Neodiprion lecontei: one gene and its partners. Each later gene encodes a partner of the first gene's protein in a complex. Links are inferred from orthologs where the notes say so. Each region holds a gene or a part of one and is shown on either strand. Other genes may lie near its edges. The genes, in order: dynein regulatory complex subunit 3, dynein regulatory complex subunit 7-like and dynein regulatory complex protein 8-like.

Region 1 (6,733 bases):
TTATAAAAAACTGTCCTGAGTTATCCCATTCTCAAAGCCAAATTTTTAGGAATTATTTCTTTGCGGTACAAATACGCGATATAACGACAATTGGAAGAAACTGTTGTTGCTATTGCTGTTCAAAAATATTTCATCTTCTACCACATAGAATAAAATATAATGCTTAAAACCTATAGGGGTGAATAATAATTACGTGCATGTTGGTAATTATGTTCAAGCCAGTGGTCAAAATTAGCTGCTATGCATACTAATGTTAGTTGAAAAAGATCATCAAAGCAAAATGATGTGAAGGCTCAGAATTCAAAATTTCTTCAAATCTCTAGAAAGTTTAATACATTTACAGAATCATAAGTATTGAATTGTACTACAGAACTCCATTTGGAAAAAGTTGAGTATGTTGAGTGACTAACTGGAACCACTAGGTTCAGCTTCATGACATTGTGCTGTTAAGGGAAAGAAAACTCTGTTTTTGCCCATAGCAGACAAATTAGAAGGACCAAATACTAACAGTGAGAGTGTACATAACGATGGTATAGTTCTTTCCAGCTGCTTGATTCAATCGCCGTCGAATAGCTTTAACTGCATCCCGAGGTCCGTCTTCAGTTTCGTTAATGATATCGCATATTTCCATATTAAGTGCCCAATTCTCACTTGGCAGGCTTCCATCTGTAGCTTGTTCTGCAATTTTATATCACAATGTCTCAATTATTCCAGTACACGTTGAGTTACAGTAACAGCGCATAATTGGTTCAATTTGTAGACATCATTTATATTCCTACTGCCACGCAGGCTGCGACATGCGAGTAAAAAATTTCAGCGAGTGGATTTTTTTGCAGATTTTTTGAATTCACTGAGAATAAGTTTCATCTAAAAATAGAATATAAACCTGTTAACAAGATCTAGTTTCAAGTGAATTGGATTCTATGGCAAGTGCCCATTAACAGACAATGATACAAGGTAATTTAATTATATTTTCAAGGAAATATAATTACTAATATAATTGCACCATTATTCAGAGGAATATTATTGCAAAAATTGTGATAAGTTTCCATCAGTTCACACCTTTGAAGCAGCTCAGTAAGAAAATATAGACAATAATAATTTACGCTAATTAAACGTTCCGCTTATGCTCCTGATAATTGACTACATAATTAGTGCACCTCAATGTTCATTAGTAAATCTAAGGTAACCAGAGGAAGAAGGGAATATAAAAAATAAAGAAAGAAAGGAAAGCTAAGGAGTGCTACAACAATGTGGTGCAGAAAATAATCAATAAAACAAAACAACTAAAAAAAATCGCGACACGCCAAGACAATAGTATTGAACGTTTACGTAATAATGCAGTAAGTAACCAATTAGGCGAATGAATATATGGTCAAAACAACAATGGCATGGAAAAAGCTAGGCTTATACGACGAACTATGAATCTCACCTATTCTCTGACCAACTGGCGTCGAAAATGGATTCACAGGTACACCGAAAAAAGACATTTTTTGTTCCTTTTATACCGTATTTGGATGTTAGAACTTTGCACACTGCCTCTCGGCTTACTGCCGCATAAGTAAGTAGCCTGACGGTAAATTTATCGGCAAATTGTTGTCGGACAGTAACAGTTTATCAAATTTTCACTCTCCCGATGTGTCACGTAGAGATAATCATATGACACCGTGGTAATGGAGTACTGCGCCTAGACGTCAAATCATGTTTTCCCCGACCAATGGTACTCCATTTTCCGTGACGCAGCTGCACTGGCTTCGCTAAATGACCGCCTATTGGCTCAAAAATCAAAATGGCCGCCTCGATTGAATGCTTGCTACGCATATTCAAACGCCTCGGAAGACGAGGCGTAAGTAATGCCTATAGTCAACATCGTTCGGATAATGAGTGTAATGAACTGGGATTCGTCAATTGCGTCTATATTTATTACGACAATTTCTTATTTTTAATATACATTTTGCCTGAAAACTGAGGCGTGATGCCATATTTACGATCGGATTTTCAAATCGGAGCAAAGTTTGAAATTCAACAATCACGAATTTTTATAATCTCATTTTCAAAGTTTTCGAATTCGATCATGCGAAAAAAAATGCTTTATCATTAAAATCTAATTGCTTTTAATTCGATTTAGTCTTGAATGTGCATTTTGTAACGTGGCAAAAACAAAGAATCGATATAGTAATGTTCAATGAGTCATGTCATCAGGCTCATTGCGACGAAAGTATAAATATCTATATCGCTATGGAAACGGGAAACTATTTTGTTGATATGAATACCAAGCAAATGTGAATTCTAAGGTTAAATTTTACATCAGACCATCCCACATTTTGAACTAGCTGATACGTGAATTTTGAATGCTAAAATTATTCACGTGAGTTAACGTTTCGTACAACTGCATACACCAGTTTCTTCATCGTTGTATTTCATTTAAACATACAAAATACAACGAAGAGTTTTTAGAACGCAGTATAAATTATGAAGACTGAAGACAAACCGATAATATTGCAAGAATCCGCAGAACCTGGGGTGATAGACCAAAAAATGCTCGTGGCTTTAATAATTGACCAAGGGCCAAAAAAGGAAGCTGGAAGATTGTTCGTAGAGGATGGGATAAACCTGGAAGAAGTGACAGAAATTCGAATCGAATTTCTTAGTAAGAAACCTATGGATATTATGTGGGATCCAACACGGGCGCGGTAGGGTGTCGAAAAAAAATTAATAAACGTCGATGGTCTTACATCGAGTGTACGAATATGAAGACTCGGAAAACTTCGTGCTAGCTGTTAAATTGTTTTTTTTTTTTTTGTAATGTAGTGTCGAATCCTATTTCAGAACAAAATAGTTCCTTATACTCATTACTTTTATCTTTTTTAGATATTTTAAATATAGACCACCTATGGTTAATGCCAAACTTGGTGAAATTAAAACTGAGCAACAACAAAATTGAAAGGATTGTTAACTTGGATGTCCTGATTAATTTAAAAGAGCTTGATCTGTCGTTCAACCATATCGAAACTATGGAGAATTTGAACCATTTGAAATGTTTGGAAATTTTATTGCTGTATGAGAATCAAATTAGTCTTATTCAGGGAATCGACGATTTGAATGAACTTACAATTTTCAGTATTGGAAATAACAATATTGCCGATTGGCATCATGTAATTCATTATTCTTCTACATAAGTTCTAATTTCGCATCATGTGTGTTATTGTTATTATTGTTATTTTTTTTTAACTTAGTCAATTATCACCTAGAAATTCTTATACTTTTTCAATCATTGAATCAACCAATCTTAAATTATCGCACTGTAATTAAATTATTATTGATAGCTATATGTAGGGCTCCAATTTGCTTAAATTTCATGGTCAGCATAATTGCTAAATTTTTACAGGTCATGTATTTACGGAAATTCAAAAAATTACGGAGTTTAAATGTCTCTGGAAATTCGTGCATGGAAAAAGAAGGATATTTGAACTATTTGATTGCCTTTATACCACAATTAATCTATCTTCAGTACAAAATGATAACGGACCGAGAACGCCAGGCTGCCGCTGATGAACATTAGTAAATTTCATATTTCCCGTAAATCGACAGAGTTAGATTGATTTGTAAAAATCCACTCATGCTCATAATTTAGAGTATTTTTAATACCGCCAGATATTGCAGGCCATCATGGGATATAAATATTATAGTAAAAGAATTGCAGGAAGAAATTAATAATGCATTGTTCAAGTTTTATCCTAGATGCGTTTAAACAGAATTAATGATAATCAGTTTGTATACTTAAATGTTTTAGTCGAATCATTAGTAATTTGTTGGAAGAAGAAGCTAAAGAACAAGAAAAGTTGGACAAGCAAGCAGCATTTGAGGAAAATGTTGCATTATTATCCATATCTTACGTGGAATATCTCGATGACGACTACTTGTTCAATAAAATGTTTGAAAAAGACAAGGGTAATTATGAAAGAAAGAAAATTTTCTCTTTTAATTCTTTTTGCTTTTATCAACAATATCTTAAATATTATTCTCTTTATCTTAAGACATCAATACTTTCTATTTGGCATCAAACTACGCTTATTCGTCTGGGATACGATTTTTTTTTTCGTTAATCTAGCCCTACTGGAAAAGTTTGAGAGGATTTGTAAGATTCTAATAGAATATTATAGAATGGATTTCAGAAACACCATAGACTTATCACTGTGTATCGTGTTTGTGGCTCGTATTCTATGATATTCTTTAATATCTAATCGTGATCTATCAATGCCTATCAGGCTTTTCAAGCAGAAAAATATTCAATAAATAAAATTTCCGTCTTAAGTGTGAATTTTACCATAATATTTGAAAATTGAATGTCTGAAAATATGTAAAATTCACATTTTGATTCAGAAATACTTCATTACAGAAGGTAACGACTTCTTAACACTCAGCGAAGATGCACGATCTGCATATGCGGAGTATAAAGTAAAGTTCATGGAACTTTGCAAAGATTTGTATGAACTGGGGCTAGCTGAACAAATCCGAAGGTCCAACGAAATAAAAATGTTTGAAGATTTAGTCACTAAAGGTGAAGACGACATTCAGAAAGATTCCCAAATGTAAGTACCAGATATACCTTACATAATTCATATAATAATAATATGAATATAAAGTGTATAATCGCAAATGTCAATAATTAGTAAAAATAAATCACAGATTTCGTCAATTATTCATACTATTAAAACAATTTCACAATAAATGAGACTTTCATTAAATTACAAGTATAAATACACAAAAAAATGCTAATCATATTCTTCGGACAAATAAATTTATTAGCATTTCTTTCAATTGAAATTTTTTTGTATAAAGGATGATGGATGAAATAATGGATAGAAAGGCTGAAATCTTAGCAGACGTAAAAGCACTTATGCAATCAATGACTGAAGAGTTGGAGACTGAAGTTCTCGAAGAAAAATTAGACAAAGCTCGTCAGCTGTCCGAAGAATTCAGTGACTTGGTGGCTAGAACCTGGACAAAGCTCATGCACAAGGAAGTGATTCTTCATGACCAAATGGAAGTGTGTATCCATTTATTTATCACTGGTGTTGAATGAATTACTGGTATTCCTTTCAGCTATTCATATAGTTTCACACAAGGCAAAGTTAGTCATACATGATAAACATTTGATTTGGATTGCACAAGTAATCAGAGTTCTCCAAATACCTCCTATTGCTTAATAAAACTAATATTGACCGAGCAAATCAATTAGACACACTTGCGACGTTTGACCTGCAGCTTTTTATAAGTATTGATTGCAACAAATACTGATAATTATATATTAACAATGACATATCTGCAGGATATAAACGAAGTGTTCAAACAGCATATGACAGATATGGTTGGATCGTTCTTAGAAGCAGCCCAGAATATATTCTCATTAATGAGAAATCTGGAAGCCGAATATACCGACAACATTGCTGGAATAGCTAGTGTTGTTATGAATACAAGTCAGGCTACGGAAGATAGTAAAATGTCACCTAGTGTAACGGATATAATCGGTGATAAGGACATTTTGAATAACAATTTGGCAGCATCCCATGATCTACATCTCCAGGTATGCTTATATGCTTATTTGAGTGCACGAATAAATATTAAGCTATTTAAAATCAACAAATGTCGTTTTTCATCGCTTACGTTTTTCGAGCAGTTGCATAATGATCAAAACAACATGATAAATGACATGGGCTCTCATAAAATTCTTTTAAATTCTGCTTATTCAGATCATCGATGGGCGTGAAGATCGTCTAACAAGTCGACTTAATGGTTGGCTTGAAGGGAAGATTGAAAAATTGGCAGAGTAAGTAGCAGCATAACTATTGAGATAATTTAAACCACAAATATCCAAGATACACGAGATCTGTCTCGTTTTTAAAATAGACTGTAGACTGTAGAATTTGTGACCTATATTTTTCGAGTAGTAACCATATTAGTAAAGTCGAGGTGGTCTTCGTTTTTCTGTTTTAAGGAATGAAAGTAACCGGAACCGTCAGAAGATACTAGAAATTTCCCATTTTCTTGAGTGTCAACGGGAAGAATTTGATGCACTACAATTACAGCAGCCGTTATACGTGAACACTGACGATCCAGATATTGCTGCAGTACTTGAGCAATAAAACATAAAGCAACTGATTTCTTATAAAGCCAGTTTGTTTCATAATACTGTGAACAAAATGAATTAAATGTATAAACAATAAACGTTTTATCCATTCCTACTGTTTATTAGTACCTATTTCAAATATAACATACTCAAAAAAATTCACGGTAAATAAATTCATATCAAAATATTTTTATTTCTTATCTGCATTGTAAAGTAGAAAAATCTATTGTATTCGCCATATATCACAGCTCTGTCAGGTGGGGGCTGTTATGGCATGACGTATCGTTACTGTTAGCTTCAGCGGTTTCACTTCTTTTTTAAGCTCTGGATGTACATATCCAAACCCTTTTGTACCTGTGGTTGCTCTAAGAAGCCAATGAATATTTTCACATCAAAATCTCTATTTTTTTCAAGCCATGAGAGTGCTGACTTCCTTAACTGATGCTTCGTTGCGGACCTTGCACCAGCTGCAGAACAAAATTTGTATTAGAATATCTGTATTCTAAAATAATACAGTTAATATTATCACACAGAATACCGAGACTTAAAGATTTTCACATTGTATTTGATTTTGCAATGATATCTTCATAATGCATACATAAT
Region 2 (5,000 bases), on another chromosome or scaffold:
CATCGCCATTGCCAACCCTTGGAGCGTGCAACGCAGTTTCTGCTTTCGTGGAAAATTTGGCTCCCAAGGCCCTGTAAGCGTACGGCGCCGTAGCGTCGCTTTCCTGACCACCTCGTGTTCGAGAAATTTTTGGGATAATTAAACGGCATACGCGGGCAAGCGAACGGTTTCCGATAATAGGTTCGCTCGATTAGGCGAAGGAAAAAAAAAATACTAACGTACTATGACGATACGGCTATTTTTTCAACTTTCCCAATTCAGAACCATAAACGCGACGAAGGTAAGTAAGTATAGCTCCTCTAGTCTACATTGTACACTATACGCGTATACGCGTTCCTGTAGGATACATTGTAGAAAATTGCTTCTCTTCAACGAAGCGTATGCCTGATCGTATTATCGACTATATAACTTGATTTCGCCGTCGACTGATTGTGACTGACAAAATTTTGGCATCGATATAACCCATCACTTCGCTCCGGACAGTGTTTGCATATCACACCTTTGGACAGTTACACCGATATCCGGTTGATTTTAAATTAATGGATCCTACGTGTATTTAGATCTGCGAATAAAATTTGCATACACGTCGCGATTCTATCGCTGTCGAATTTCTCGCATGAAAATGCGTTTCATTTCAACAGTATGTAACATGGTACGTGTGGGTGCGGGCATTAAATACGAGCATCTGCGCGATTGTGTTCGTAAAGTGGCGAGGATCCGTCAATTTCTCATGTTATTCTTTACACTAGTGCTACGCTATTGTACGGAACGGACGTAATGACGATACGTAGTTGCGGATTCGAATATTTGCGTTAATGGATTGTCAAAGACTGCAGGCTTTCGATATCTCGCCGATCTACCCACACGTTTATAAATATATAACATGTGCGGTGTGTGCGCACTCGTCCTACGCACATACATACGCTGCTGCATAACTATACCTTCGTACAAACCATGTGCATACGGGGACGAGAACCACGGTAGTAAGGGGGAAGATAGGGGGGGGGGGCTACAGCCCAGCCAGCCGTCCTGGATGACAGACAGGATGCGAGGGTTCGCGATTCCGCGCGCCTTTCGGTGTGCCCGGCATTACGTGCTTCGGTGGCTCTGCCCGCGCTGCAGCTACGGCAGCGAGCGTCGGCGACGTCGTCGAGACATTTACCGGCGATCCGGCGACGATGACGCGACATTCCACCACTGCATACGAATTATGTACTACTTAACGTATTATATACCATATACGTTATATCATGTATATCTGCATATATAACCGATATATAGTATATACATACGTGTATATGAGCCGGAGACCTAGGCTCGGCGAAGAACGTACACCTACGGTATTGAATTCTGACCGCTTCAAGGCCACCCGTGTCGCGTGCTTCGCGGGTCAAATAAATGGTAGCAGAGCCCTGTAAAACGGTCGTAATCAAACACCGTGGCTGTACGTACGTACGCGTTAACGTACAACGCGCACGTTGTACATATGCTCGCGCAAAGATGCGAGAGCCTTTGTGAGATCGGGAAGCAGAGGCAACAGCTGCGACACTTGGTTCACTCGCGAGACCCGCATGATGCACCGTCGTCGCCGCGATGTATCCTGCAGGCTCTAAAAGCCGCAGAGACCCGACGGTCTTACCCACGTAGCATATAGCCGCATATACCTCCTCTTTCCTTCACCCCCAACCTCTCTCTTTCTCTCTCTCTCTCTCTCTCTCTCTCTCTCTCTCTCTCTCTCTCTCTCTCTTTCTCTTTCTATGTATACATATACCATTCGCACGAAATTTTCATGGTCAAAACCCACCCGCGCGGTCCTTCGGGGCTGCAGTAAACGGTTCCGCGTATTCCTACTGCTTCTAAGTCGCTAAGGTATAGGATGTACGGATAAGGTATATTAGGTAGTAGGTAGTAGGTAGTCGGGTACAGGCCGCAATATTCAACGGTCAATTCTATTTTAAGCTTAGTTGGGTGTGCGGCGGGCCAAGCATGTAGCTTCGGTACGCAATGCTGAAGTCGGTGAATGTCTCCATCTCTATCCTCCCGCTCATTTTCCATGTTCACCACACCTTCGATCCTTACCGGAGTATAAAGCATTGCTAAAGCAGCGCGGACGGATGGATACGATCTATCATCAGACATTCGAAGTAGATTCAGAACAATGTAAAGGAATAATCATTAGCTTGGTTGTTATCTTGGAAATGCAGGTCAAATTTTTTGAAACAAAATTTTAATGTTCACCTTCCGGCCCGAATGGGGTCCTTCCCGGAACGAATTATTTTGTCGAAATGTGTTCAATAAAGGAGTAATAAACAAGAGTTTACTTACATATCGTTAAGGCCAACAGGCCATTTCAGGCAATAATCATTATTGTACGCTGCAAGATACATTCGATCGCTAATTATGCGACCCGGCGAATGTTTGCCGAGCTTTGGTCCGTACCGGGACACGCTCTTGACCGATGAAAATCTATGCAAGAGAAAAATTTGTTGCTCTACAAATCATCCGCTCCATATTCACGGCCGAAAAGCTATTATTAAATGAAATCTATTGATAATGTGTGGTACGGTGCTTAGGCTCCGATTCCAATCAGTCGGTAGAGAGGGGAACGCGCAAGTTGTATCGCGTCCGGCCGTGTCGCATGCGTGCGTACGTACATAGGTACATCGTAATTGCATACGTCACATGATGCCCTGCTTAGCAGTGGTGTATTATTTTCGGCTACGTAAACTCGCGGTGTACTTCCTTACACGCGCGCTGCAGTTGTGTACAATCGGTGCGTCGGCGCTCCGGACCAACCCCAACGTGTAGACGAGAATGAGAGAAAGAGACAGCGAGTGAGAGAGAGAGAGAGAGAGAGAGAGAGAGAGAGAGAGAGAGAGAGAGATGTACAGTGGCAGTGAGTCTTGGCGCGAAACGTGAATTTGAATTTTGTAACGGAAATTCAATATTTTCCGCATGGGTTTGAGCATCGGCGTACCTCCTGCGTCATCATCAGCCGATTGACTGTCCTGTATGCGTAGTCGAACGTAAAGATGGTTAATTCCCGAATCAATCGATGATTATGAGATACGCATAACCTGATGGAAATTTGTATAATTGTGACGCATGTGTGCTCAGCACGAGGGGACGATAAGACATTCTTCGCAATCCATAGTCACACACGGATCTTCTCGATAATACGACATCTCTAAGTATGCATATAGTTGTGTGACAAACGAGAAATGGGTTACACGGCGGCGTGATACACAACGTAGTACGCTACGGTAGTTCCTAGGCATGCCGTGCGTGCAAGCGCGTATCGGTACGCCCATGGAGCAATGCGTAGGAATTTGCGGCTCTTGGAAGGTTCGTGTTTACTTTTGCAGAGATAAAAGGAGACCCTTAACCCTGCGGGTGACGGACGAGCCGACGGTCTTGCGGGCACGACGAGCCGGCGGGCGGATTATCGGACGGACCGACGGATCGTCAGACAAAAGGACAGGCCCAGGAGGCGACGGGAGGACGAAGGGTGGTCGCGGACAGGCTGGCAGGCTGGCAGGCAGGCGGGCGGGCGGGCAGGCAGGCATGGCAGGCAGGCAAGCAGGCAGGCTGGCAACAGGAAGCTCGCGATGCGTGACTCACCGCGAGCCAGCCGAACAACGTAGAGAACTAAACCGCGCGCGATCGCTCGCGTTCTCTCCGCGTGTTCGTTTCTTCGTACGGTACCCCCGTCAACCTGGGAATATCGTACGAACGTACGCGTGCATGTACGCAACCGTGGATGCCCATACATACTTAGGGTCTTCCCGGCCGCGGAGGGAATATAGTATATCGCGAGCGATTCGAGGTTGCCGCCGAGGCGTTTATTGGCGGCTGCTCCTGCGTCTATACGCACACGCGCGCACACGCATACTTGCGTTGTACGTACGCACCTTACGTACCTATGGCATAGACTTATTTGTCTGATCAGATTCGCGCGAGGCCGCGGTGAGGCGGTTTAAATCCGACTTGCGCGCACGACGGAGTCGCGCGACCAAATTGCGAGGTGGACGGCGATCGGGCAAAAACTGCGTCGAGGTGAGGACGGAGGGTAGAGGGGGCCGACCTTCCCGTCCGTCTCGCGAGAAGACCCGCGACCTCGCCATCAAGTAATCAACGCAACGGCACGCGGTCTCGACGCCCATGCTCCCCCTCATTGTACATATACACACTTTATCTATCTATAGTCGTATATGAATTGCAGGGATCGTAAATACGCGTTATAAGTCTGTACCTACGTGTCTACGTACATTTACGTGTACGTCCATACCTACATAATATATGTATTAACATTATATGCGGGTCATACGTTGTATTTATCGGTACCGCGTATGCGCGTCGACGTGTGATGAGAAAGAGCGGATCTAAGCAGCCACCTTAACAAAATCACGGCAAAGTACAGTAGTTTTCCAATCGTTTGCGTCGATTTAAACGTTCAGAGTTAGATTACCATCTAATCGGTGTACTGTGTTTACGCTATCAATTATCAATTTCACCTTCTTCCGTAAATGGTTCCCCTTTAGCTAACCCCTCACTTTTTATCCAAGAGAGAGAGAGAGAGAGAGAGAGAGAGAGAGAGAGAGAGAGAGAGAGAGAGAGAGAGAGAGAGAGAGAGAGAGAGAGAGAGAGAGAGAGAGAGAGAGAGAGAGAGAGAGAGAGAGAGAGAGAGAGGTTCGTTTAGACCCACTCTGCCCTACGCCGCGTACATACAAGGCATGAAAAAACACCGAGTTTGATCCAAGGCAACGTATGTATGGTACATTATACCTACCTATATATACACTCGAGGCGCAAATAGGGAATATAGTTGAAGAGAATATCGCGCGAGTGTAGAGCTAGCGAGAGGAGACGCTGCTTCTCTCACCTCGGGGCAAAATTTGTGCGCGTTCCAACGCGACCGAGTGAATTTAGGGTGGGCACATCTATACATGGGTGTGTGTGTGTGTGTGCGTGTGTGTGTACCGTCGACTAATAACAAGGGC
Region 3 (3,610 bases), on another chromosome or scaffold:
AGCACTACAAGAAAAAGCAAACGATACTTACCTGTTCTTCTCGTTTCACCGTCCTTTCGTCGTAGTCATAGTATTCAATTTTTTCTTTGTTATCTTCAGGTATATTTTCTTCCGGATCCTCTTCCCCTGGAACAGTTGGTTCCAAGTTTACTGTTTTAGAAATGACATTCTTTTCATCTTGTTCAGATTCCTCCTGGATTTGGACAGATTCAATTGAATCTTTTGTATCATTCTCTTCCTTGTTGGACACCCTGTCATCCACATCTTCTTCCTTCGATTCTTCTTCATTGTTCATTTCATCATCTTTAGCCATTTCTTCCTTGACAGGATCAAGATTCTCATCATTTTGGTTTGCAGATTCAACTGGTTCAAGTTTTTCTAGTGGTTCGGAGCTATGTGAAACTTTGGTTTCTGGAGGCGTTTCCTCAACAAATTCTTCTTGTGGCTGCTGTTCCATTACGGTAGTCGAATGCTCTTCTGTTTTTTCAGGCACATTCACTTGTTGTTCTGTAGCGGTTTTCGTGAAATCAGATTGTACTTCAAATTGTGAAACAGGTTCTTCCATTTGCTGCGGACTCTCCTCCACACTTGCGAGAACGGATTCGACATGTTCTTCAGGCTGCGGCTCTATCTTCTCAGGGCTAACTGTATGTGATTCTTTCACTGGTGATCTTGTGGAGGGATCTGTAATATTTTCAGGCGTTGCAACTCGAGGAGGGACCTCAGGTTCGCGCGCATCTGGCTCGGGAGCTGGTTCCTCAGGTACAGGGGAAGGCTTCCTCTGTTCTTCCGGTGGTGGAGCTTTGGCTGGAGAAGGCGATTGTTTCGCCCTCGCAGCTGCTCTCGAAGGTGTTTTGGAAGGGCTGGTAGCTGAAGCGCTGCGAGCAGATCGCCCCCCGGGTGTTTTAGCGGTTGGTGAGGGTTTTGCAGGTTCCGGCTCTGGCGACTGCTCGTGTGGTTGTGCCTCCCTGGTATCCACACCTACCTCATCGTTCGACTCAGGGATCGTCGTTTCTTCGACTTCTAAATGAATGAAAAGTAACAAATAACACTGGAGCATACATAATTGAATTTGAGATTGTTGCGTTTCCTGATAATAAGTAAAATGGAAATCAGATGCATAAAAAATCACGGCGTCCTGAGGTAAGGAAGACAGGTTGGAAATAGGTTGGGATATCGGGGTGTTCCAATCGAGGAGTAAACAGTTTTCCGGCGCCAGTGACTAGACTGTATTAGACGCCGTGTTTGGACGCAATTTAAGCGGGAAACTACTGGGATAAGCAGTAACGCCTAGTGAGCGGTAAGCCGAATGTTTTCTTACGGTCTTCGGCTTCTTCGTCCTCCAAAGCCTTGCGGAGTCGCTCGACGAGGACAGCTTTATTTCCTTTGGTATCGAGACCGCGATGAGAGAGCTCTGCCCGCAGCTCGACCACTTTCAGCTTCGCGGGATCCATGGCGATGGATTTATTTATTTTACAAACAACCGCACAATATTTACTCGATCGAAAATGCTTTCAGGAATGAGCCATACACGCGACGGTGACCCGCGCTGCGCTCGCAATATGGCGGCGACATTGCAAACAATACGCGGAGTGATACGGCATATCCGATTGGCTCGTCGGACGCGAATTCGAAACGACGCCATTGCGACAGTCAATCAAACTTACTCTTTCATTTGACATATACCGACGAAAAGCGATCCGATTGGCCAAAGTAGGGATGTTTCGGGCGGCGGTAATTATGAACTGGCTTACAGCACACCCCGTGCAATTTTTTTTTTAGTTAATCTTCACACCCTAAATGTTCGTTCAGTTGTCGATGATGACATCCGCGGGATAAGAGCGCGAAAAAATACGTAATGAAATGAATTCTTTTCGCGATATCTTCTTTCCGTAATACACACACCATCGCGGTAACTCGCAGTAACGGTCTTAGGGGTGATTTTATTTGGTCAATATGGCGCAAGAACGAAATAGCGAGGTACGCCGCAGAAGTTCAGTAATGAAACGGGGATTGTCTTTATCAAGTTCGGAGGGTATCTTCTGTTCTTAAAGCTTAATTTTTTATCCCTTTGCATTAGCGTTCACATAATCGCATCGTCGGTCACGATTTTAGATTATGTTTTACGCTGATGCAATTCTTCTAACAGTCATTTCTGGTTATCGCACCTAAATCTAAATTTAACATTCAGAGTGGTGAATAACACAAGCTTATTTCACTAAAAGGGCCGAATCTATTGGAAAAACTGATACACAATGCATTTGACGTCTTTGACACTGCCAAAATCCAAGAAGTGGATGTCAGAGACTTGGGAACAATGATACGATCGCTAGGTAAGCACTAAAAGGGGAATACTCTTCAAACTAGAATGTAGCAAGTCTGAAACTGTCCTTCCTTGCATTTTTGACTGAAATTTATTTGCCTGGGTTACAGGATGTGTTATGACTGAGGCAGAATTGCAGGAAATTCAAGTTCAGTTGGAGGATGTGGAAAATAATTCCGTTTCACAATCCAGATTTGTAGAATATATGACTAAAACCATTAACGAACACAAGTGAGTCTGACTCTCTCCGCATACGTTGATCCAAGTATCATTGTCAGCAAGTAAGAGTCATGAATACCAAGTAGCAATTATGGAAAATTATCCTCAGATTAAAGCCAGCAGAACCTGAGGAATTATTGAAAGCATTCCAGCTATTTGATCCTGAAAACCACGGTTATATTATGAGAGATGATTTGGCAAAAGCACTGATGGAACTGGGAGAGCCTTTTACTCAAGATGAAGTAAACGAGATGATGTTTGTAGCTTGTGACCCCGCAACGAATAGAATCAACTATGAACACTTTATCAATCTGCTTATTGTGAGTATAGCTCGAGATTCAAAACATAATCCATGTAAAAGATCAGATTCAACGATTCTGTCCTTCTACCCGTTACATACAGAATTTCTGGTTTTTTCCCTGCATAGTTAAAATATCCGGATGATACCAATCCTTATAAAGTTGCCGATAAAATTGAGGCTGATCGGCTTGCGGCCATGCCTAAGAAACGAGGTTTGGGCAGCCTTATTGATGCCTCGGTACCTCATTGACACTGTCAAAATTATGAACAAAAGAAAATTAAACATAGTTTGTCCGTGAAATTCTCAAGTACATACAATATTACTATTTTTATAGTCACTGTGTAATAGCTAGACTATAATTACATTCTCAATGTACTTTTTGAGTATTGAAATCGATTTATTACCAAAAATAATTGATGTCCAATTGTAAGACTGATACTGCGATTTACGGATATGCAGTGATAAAAATATTGGCTATTAAACAGTCAAGTTCCCTAATTTATCTTTGTTTACATTGGTCATAGTTACAGAAAAACAGGTAGTCGGAACCTGATTTCGCTGACAAATAGTGGTCTCTATCCTTCACAGTTTGGAGAACACAGGCGCTTCCCCACTCTTGCTCACCTGTGCCATGACAGAGTTAGCAAGATCCTCACTTTGCAACATTACTTGATTGTACATGAGCTGAAAGCAGAAACCAAAATTACTAACAATAATTATAACTATCATTAATAACGATCATTAAGTACTCAGTTACTCAAATTCGA

What was found.
Region 2: dynein regulatory complex subunit 3 (region 1) and dynein regulatory complex subunit 7-like share a complex: the UniProt entries of both Homo sapiens proteins name them as parts of the nexin-dynein regulatory complex. The link is inferred for Neodiprion lecontei from reciprocal best matches to the Homo sapiens genes DRC3 and DRC7.
Region 3: dynein regulatory complex subunit 3 (region 1) and dynein regulatory complex protein 8-like share a complex: the UniProt entries of both Homo sapiens proteins name them as parts of the nexin-dynein regulatory complex. The link is inferred for Neodiprion lecontei from reciprocal best matches to the Homo sapiens genes DRC3 and DRC8.

What each region holds. Positions count from the first base shown.
Region 1 is NC_060263.1:21,534,759-21,541,491, forward strand, and holds dynein regulatory complex subunit 3, read left to right. Parts: upstream 1-1,746; 5' UTR 1,747-1,846; intron 1,847-1,865; exon of another isoform or gene 1,866-2,368; intron 2,369-2,457; 5' UTR 2,458-2,472; coding exon 2,473-2,650; intron 2,651-2,871; coding exon 2,872-3,155; intron 3,156-3,388; coding exon 3,389-3,561; intron 3,562-3,793; coding exon 3,794-3,951; intron 3,952-4,399; coding exon 4,400-4,592; intron 4,593-4,842; coding exon 4,843-5,050; intron 5,051-5,332; coding exon 5,333-5,587; intron 5,588-5,753; coding exon 5,754-5,830; intron 5,831-5,998; coding exon 5,999-6,146; 3' UTR 6,147-6,219; downstream 6,220-6,733. Other genes in the region: TOM1-like protein 2, read right to left, coding at 509-678, 1,433-1,490; enoyl-CoA delta isomerase 1, mitochondrial, read right to left, coding at 6,437-6,597. UniProt on the Homo sapiens protein: Component of the nexin-dynein regulatory complex (N-DRC) a key regulator of ciliary/flagellar motility which maintains the alignment and integrity of the distal axoneme and regulates microtubule sliding in motile axonemes.
Region 2 is NC_060266.1:422,613-427,612, forward strand, and holds the start of dynein regulatory complex subunit 7-like, read left to right. Parts: upstream 1-1,998; 5' UTR 1,999-2,004; coding exon 2,005-2,016; intron 2,017-5,000. UniProt on the Homo sapiens protein: Component of the nexin-dynein regulatory complex (N-DRC) a key regulator of ciliary/flagellar motility which maintains the alignment and integrity of the distal axoneme and regulates microtubule sliding in motile axonemes.
Region 3 is NC_060266.1:25,923,629-25,927,238, forward strand, and holds dynein regulatory complex protein 8-like, read left to right. Parts: upstream 1-1,919; 5' UTR 1,920-1,956; coding exon 1,957-2,035; intron 2,036-2,225; coding exon 2,226-2,333; intron 2,334-2,433; coding exon 2,434-2,554; intron 2,555-2,651; coding exon 2,652-2,862; intron 2,863-2,969; coding exon 2,970-3,092; downstream 3,093-3,610. Other genes in the region: heterogeneous nuclear ribonucleoprotein U-like protein 1, read right to left, coding at 32-1,023, 1,322-1,454; delta(3,5)-Delta(2,4)-dienoyl-CoA isomerase, mitochondrial, read right to left, coding at 3,426-3,527. UniProt on the Homo sapiens protein: Component of the nexin-dynein regulatory complex (N-DRC), a key regulator of ciliary/flagellar motility which maintains the alignment and integrity of the distal axoneme and regulates microtubule sliding in motile axonemes.